Linked DNA regions of Canis lupus familiaris. Each later gene encodes a partner of the first gene's protein in a complex. Links are inferred from orthologs where the notes say so. Each region holds a gene or a part of one and is shown on either strand. Other genes may lie near its edges. The genes, in order: ESPL1 and PTTG1.

Region 1 (3,686 bases):
GGAAGGGGAGTAGAGGGAGAGAGAGCATCTTAATTAAGTAGAGCCCGATGTGGGGCTCCGTCTCAAGACCCTGAGATCAGATTGACGTGAGCCAAAACCAAGAGTCAGATGCTTAACCAGCTGCACCACCCAGGCGCCCCGGGAGAGAGAGGGAATCTCAAGCAGGCTCCACACCCAGAGCAGAGCCCAACCCAGGGAGATCCTGAGATCATGACCTGAGCCGAAATCAAGAGTCAGATGCTTAACCGACTGAGCCACCCAGGTGCTCCTCTAGGTTCTTACCTTTTTAACTGGCGGAAAATAACACAAGACAAATACACACGTTAGAAACCCCATTTCCAGGGGATCCCTGGGTGGCGCAGCGGTTTGGCGCCTGCCTTTGGCCCAGGGTGTGATCCTGGAGACCCGGGATCGAATCCCACGTCGGGCTCCCGGTGCATGGAGCCTGCTTCTCCCTCTGCCTGTGTCTCTGCCTCTCTCTCTGTGTGTGACATAAATAAATAAATAAAAAGAAGCTGAAAAAAGAAACCCCATTTCCTCATATCCAAAATGTTGGCGTCCGGGGGGCCAAGAGACTCCACTCCTCTGACTGGAGGATCTGTTCTTCCTCATTCAGGCTCTCATCACTTCCCTGGAGAAGCATGTGTTGGGCTGCTGGAGGGGACTGTTGCTACCATCCAGTGACGACCCTGGCCCTGCACAGGAGGCCTCCCGCCTACAAGAGTTGCTGCAGGAATGCGGCTGGAAATATCCTGACCCAACTCTGCTGAAAGTGAGTGGAGACATCAGGGAAGGGGATGGAGCTCAAATGAATTCTTGCCCACGTGCCATCGTAACTGGAGGTGGGAGCCGTTGCGCTCACTGACCACGTTCCCCTGCAGATCATGCTCCATAGTGCCAGAACCCTTGCTCCCGAGGACATTCAGACCCTGGCCTATGGGCTGTGCCCAGCCCAGCCAGAACGAGCCCAGGAGCTTCTGAGTGAGGCCGTAGGACGTCTGCAGGGTCAGACGGTACCAAGCAACAGGCACCTTGTCTTAGTGCTAGACAAGGTAAGGAGCTAGGGCTGGAGGGGTGGTGTCTGGTGGGCGGTGGGTACCGACTCCCCCCTCATGCCCCTCTGGACGCTTGTGCATCCTGGCTAGGGAGAGTAATCCGTGTGTGCTTTCTGCCCAGGACCTGCAAAAGCTGCCATGGGAGAGCATGCCCAGCCTCCGGGCGCTGTCCGTCACTCGGCTGCCCTCCTTCCGCTTCCTACTCAGTTACTCCATCATCAAAGAGGTGGGGTTCAGGGGGTGAGGAATGACTGATCGAGGGAGGTCTTGGGAGACAGGAATGGGTCTTAGGGACCGGTGGCTCATTCGTGAAAGGGCTTTGGAGTTTGCTGAAGGTTGAGCCAGACCAGGGTCCTGACCACCAGTGTCTTCTCCTCAGTCTGGGGCCTCGTCAGTGCTAAGCCAAGGGGTGGATCCACGCAATACCTTCTATGTCCTGAACCCTCACAATAACCTGTCCAGCACAGAGGAGCAATTTCGAGCCAATTTTAGCAGGTCAGTGGGATAAGAGTAAGAGAGGGGCTGGGGGCGGGTAGAGACAACGTAGAGGGGCAGTATGCCCTTTTCGCCTCCGGAATCACGTATTGCAGCCCACCTTCTCCTGGTATTCCCTCTGCTGACTCCATTTCTTTTCTTTTTTTTTGTTTTTTTTTTTAAAAAAAAAAACCAAAAAAAAAACAAGGTCTGGCCAGTTTTATTAAAGAAAAATTTTTGCGTGATTTACTTTCCACCCGTCTGTTCTGGCATGCTTCTAATGATATCAGAATCACCTGGATCCATGATAGCCAGTGTGCATACTCTGTAGCATTTCCCACACGCTGTGCCCAATTCAGTATTACTGCCACTGTAGTGATGGACACCAGTTTTGGCCAACATGGCGTAGTATTCTATTTCAGATTTCCTCAAAGCCGGGCAGTTGTCGGCCAGGATGACCAGTTTCGCTTTGCCGTGTCTGATCATTTTCAGGGTCTGCTTGTACCCCAGCACGTACTTTCCACTTTTCATAACCGGTTGGAGCCTAGAGTTGATCGACTCCAGCGACTTTTTTGTCTTCTTTGCGGCCACCATCTTCCTGCCTTAGATGCGGGACGACCCCAACCAACAGCAGCCGCCAAAATGGCCCGCTGACCCCAATTCTAATCCCTACCTTTTCTCTGCAGTGAAGCTGGCTGGAAAGGTGTGGTTGGGGAAAGGCCAAGCCCAGAACAAATACAGGCGGCCTTGACGGAGCACGACTTATATATGTGAGTGCTTAAGGCAGGGACGGGAGCGGGGGTATCACCGTGGCCTGCTATGGGGCCTTAAAGGACGCCCCTGAAGACATGGCCGAGGCCGGGTACTGCTGGGTCAGACTCATCTCCCGTCCCTCTGCCTTAGCTACGCAGGGCACGGGGCTGGGGCCCGCTTCCTGGACGGACAGGCCGTCCTCCGGCTGAGCTGCCGGGCGGTGGCCCTGCTGTTCGGCTGCAGCAGCGCGGCCCTGGCTGTCCACGGGAGCCTGGAGGGAGCTGGCATTGTGCTCAAGTACATCATGGCCGGCTGGTGAGTCTTGAGGGCCCAGCCCAGGTTCCTTCCCCGGCCTGAACCCTAATGCCCCACTCTCCTCGCGTTCTAGTTCTCTGACATGTGGGGGCCTCAAGCCTTTGCCCTCCTCTACCCTCCTGGAACTGTGGACCAGGCACTTCCCACTGGCTCACTCCGCTTTCCTCACCCACCATCAGCAGTCGCGTTTGCCCGCGTGTTACGGCCCTCACTTTGCAGCTCTTCCTTGTCTTTTCCCAGTCCCCTGTTTCTGGGTAATCTCTGGGATGTGACTGACCGAGACATTGACCGCTACACGGAGGCTCTGCTGCAGGGCTGGCTGCGGGCAGGCCCAGGAGCCCCGCTTCTGTACTACGTCAACCAGGCCCGCCAGGCTCCCCGACTCAAGCATCTTATTGGGGCTGCACCTGTGGCGTACGGCTTGCCCGTCTGCCTGCGGTGACCCCCTGGAGCTGCCCCAGCGCCCTCAGGAGCCACGTGACAGTTCCACATCCTCTTAGATATTTTAAGTGATTTTTCTGTGTTTTATATGAAACATTTCCCTTTGACTTAACCTTAATATAATAAAGTTGTAATACTTCAACCCTGTTCCGTGGGGTTCATCCCACTGCGTGGCGGAAGGGGTGAGAACCTTGCAGGAGTTCAAGTCTGAGACTGTGGGGAAGAGGCGAAAGCACAGGGCGAAACTGGCCCGGCTTGGCGCCGCGGACAAAGCTGAAGGAGAACAGGATCAAAACGCTCAGTGGAGGGATCCCTGGGTGGCGCAGCGGTTTGGCGCCTGCCTTTGGCCCAGGGCGCGATCCTGGAGCCCGATGGGGGATCGAATCCCACGTCGGGCTCCCGGTGCATGGAGCCTGCTTCTCCCTCTGCCTGTGTCTCTGCCTCTCTCTCTCTCTCTGTGTGACTATCATAAATAAATTTTAAAAAAAATTATTTAAAAAAAAAACGCTCAGTGGGGACAAAGCCTCCAGGGAGTGGGAGAGTACCCAGCGCCGGCGGTCCGGCTCCGTGCCTTCAGCTATCCTGGGAGCGCCGGGAGCTTTTTTTTTTAATTTTTATTTATTTTTACTCATGACAGACGCACAGAGA
Region 2 (2,954 bases), on another chromosome or scaffold:
AAGAGCACTTCATGTCTTTGCATATCAATGAATTTCTGAGCTTCACTGTCCTCTCCTGAAAAATAGGGTCATAAACATGAAACACAATAACAATACTTAAAACCAGTCCAAATACAGTGTAAGTAACTAAATAGTGTTTCCTATAGGTGAAGAGTGTATATCATCACTATCTGTAAATTATCTGCTGCAATCTTTGAAGAACCTAATTGAAGATCCCAGGGACATAGAGTTCTTGGAAGATTTAGAGCCTTTCAAATTCTGATTACTGAATAGTGAGTATTAAAGTCATTAGAAACCAAATAGAACCAGCAATAAAGAATGCTTAGCAATAGATATTTAATGAGCTGAAGTGGCTCTTCTAATTAAGAGATCTAATAACTGTCACTAGTTAATGGCCACAGAAAGGCAGCAGAGTACACATTTAGGAGCGTAAGTTTCAGGGAAAACAGTGGCAGTGTCTAAAATAAGCTGTTAAAGACAAACCAAAGGGTTCTAAGGTGAGTTTTTCAAATCTAATATACTTGTATTGTCAGATTATAGACCCCTGTCAAACACTTAACAATGATTTTCATACCGTTTTAAGCAAATGCCAAAGAATACCAACCGCAATATTAGGAAAGGTCTGTTAAAGAATTGCTTTATTAATACAAAATACACAAACTATTAAGTGCTAAGAAATTCAAACATCTAAGTCATAGCAAACAGGTGGCAATTCAACATCCAAGGTCGACAGAACGCTGGGAGACTGCAACAGATCTAGAAGACAGGAATTTCTTACTCAATATCTGCAAACGCTTTAGTCCATCTCAACACAGACATTGGTTGTCAGTTTTACTCATAAATTCTTATTTTCCCCTTTGTCTAATGAATCCCTACCCCACCCCCAGCTAAACACACACACACACACACACACACACACACACACAGACACACACTTACTTCTTGAAATGTGGCTAAGATACCAGAACTCACCTTCATTAGGAAATAACCTTAAGACATACCTGAAACTATTGTTCTTAGAGACCCACGTAGGAGCCAACAATATCACTAATGTAATTTATGGAAGCATTTGTTATCCCATCAGAACAAATAGAAAACATACTGATGATAGCTTTTGACCACCAGCTTGAATAGAGTACAGGCCTCAAACCTTGGCAGTAAGAAGGTTTTGCCAATTCTGTGCTATTGCGCTCAAGTGTCCTGAACCTAGATTAGCCGTGGATAGAACTTGGAAATCTCATTCCAAACAAGTTTACTATACCTCAAGTTATAACCCAAGAAGCTTTATGCTAAATTTAATATTATTTTCTGTATCTAAAACTGCGTAGGGGCACCTGGGTGGCTCAGTGGTTGAGCATCTGCCTTTGGCTCAGGTCGTGATCCTGGAGTCCTGGGATCGAGCCTTCTTCTCCCTCTGCCTAGGTCTCTGCCTCTTTCTCTGTGTTGCTCAAGAATAAATAAAATCTTTAAAAATAAAGTATAAACAGAACTGTCCAGATTCCAGAATGATTTAATTTTACCTGAGCACTTGGGACTGAAAAACTACCAAATGAGAGGTTTCATTACTCTGAAACCTTATCTCTTTAGTTAGAAATAGAAATCACTTGTAGGCTAACCTTCCATACAATTCTGCCCCCACAATAACGGCAGTATCAAAACACAAATAATTCACAGCCCTACTAAAAGGGCACTTGCTCACTTACCAGACTCCCAGGATAGAGAAGGCATCTTCAGGGGTGAAGGGGGGCCCAGGTGCAACAGCTTTTCAAGTTCCCTCTCCTCATCAAGGATCATGAGAGGCACTCCATTCAAGGGGAGGTGTGCAATCTGGTGCTCTTCAGGCAGGTCAAAACTCTCAAAATCTGCCATCAAGACAAAGCAATTTATCAGGGCAATGCTTCTGAGAGTGGTCAGTAGCCCCACGGGGATCTGAGACCCTTACAGTGGGCCCAGGAGGTCAAACTATGTTCTTAATAACTTCAACACCTTCTGCTGTGTTGACACTTTCAATGATGGGACAAAAGCAATGATGGATGGAATTGCTGTGCTTTAGCACAAATCAAGAAGTGGCAATAAACTATATTTTATAGTCACTATATTCCTCAAAACCATTCACTTGCAGTAAAAAATTGCCAGCTTCACATATCACTTTATCATCTACAATAAAAAGTATTAATTTTATTAGCTCTCAACCCTGAAGAACATGTCTTTTTAGTATTCTGTATGATGACCATAAAGTACTTCTGTTGCATACCGAAGTACCAGGTGAGGTCAAAGAAAAAAGATCTGTACAATTATTTGGTTTGCAAGCTAAACTAGCGGCCTTTTTCCTGTAATACTATTTAGTTGAAATAACAGAAAGACAAACTGGTTACTCAGACTTGGGTATTTGTAACACATTTTCTCAGAAAAATAAAAGAAGTCTATCATTTAAAGAAACAGTATTTATTGCCAATGATAATATACACAATCTCAAGGGGAAAAAAACACTAGAACTTTGGAAAACTTATTAGCTTGTCAATTTCCTAATATTTTTCTGAAGAGATCAGTGGTGACATTAATGAATGTGTGTTTGATATTGCATCATGAAACCCTTCAACATTTGGATAATCTACATTTCCCAGTGAATCATTATTTCTAAATGATCAATGTGTGATAAATGCAAAAATAAAAGATTTTCAAACTGCAGAAGAGCCCAGTGGATTTTATGGTCAGTATAAAATGTTCACTGATAGGGTTTCAGATTACACATCACAACCATACATTTGGAAACTGCCACTTGTTGAATTTTAGTGTGGTAGGAAAGAAAACTCTCCACACTTATCTGAAAAGACTATCGAAATGCTCCCCCCTTTCTTAACCACGCATCTGCATGAGGCCAGATTTTTTTCATGTACTTCAACCAAAACAAAGAGATACAACAGGTTGAATGCAGAATCAGAGGAGAATCCAGG

Evidence for each region.
Region 2: the proteins of ESPL1 (region 1) and PTTG1 are in contact, whole or in part, in a cryo-EM structure (PDB 7NJ1), measured with the Homo sapiens proteins. The link is inferred for Canis lupus familiaris from reciprocal best matches to the Homo sapiens genes ESPL1 and PTTG1. Residues at the interface, in NP_036423.4 of Homo sapiens: His402, Thr405, Val406, Tyr409, Ser461, Asn462, Tyr465, Tyr468, Arg505, Arg508, Glu512, Glu544, Thr547, Phe548, Arg551, Gln590, Lys593, Ala594, Val595, Arg596, Thr599, Gly600, Arg603, Gln634, Cys637, Tyr638, Trp683, Ile686, Glu690, Ile697; in NP_001269311.1 of Homo sapiens: Tyr111, Pro112, Glu113, Ile114, Glu115, Lys116, Phe117, Phe118, Pro119, Phe120, Asn121, Pro122, Leu123, Phe125, Glu126, Ser127, Phe128, Asp129, Leu130, Pro131, Glu132, Glu133, His134, Gln135, Ile136, Ala137, His138, Leu139, Pro140, Leu141.

Annotation. Positions count from the first base shown.
Region 1 is NC_049248.1:44,735,626-44,739,311, forward strand, and holds the end of ESPL1 (separin), read left to right. Parts: intron 1-616; coding exon 617-772; intron 773-881; coding exon 882-1,052; intron 1,053-1,176; coding exon 1,177-1,281; intron 1,282-1,434; coding exon 1,435-1,550; intron 1,551-2,215; coding exon 2,216-2,299; intron 2,300-2,432; coding exon 2,433-2,597; intron 2,598-2,837; coding exon 2,838-3,039; 3' UTR 3,040-3,180; downstream 3,181-3,686. UniProt on the Homo sapiens protein: Caspase-like protease, which plays a central role in the chromosome segregation by cleaving the SCC1/RAD21 subunit of the cohesin complex at the onset of anaphase. During most of the cell cycle, it is inactivated by different mechanisms.
Region 2 is NC_049225.1:51,189,221-51,192,174, forward strand, and holds the end of PTTG1 (securin), read right to left. Parts: intron 1,863-2,954; coding exon 1,704-1,862; intron 757-1,703; coding exon 680-756; 3' UTR 612-679; downstream 1-611. UniProt on the Homo sapiens protein: Regulatory protein, which plays a central role in chromosome stability, in the p53/TP53 pathway, and DNA repair. Probably acts by blocking the action of key proteins.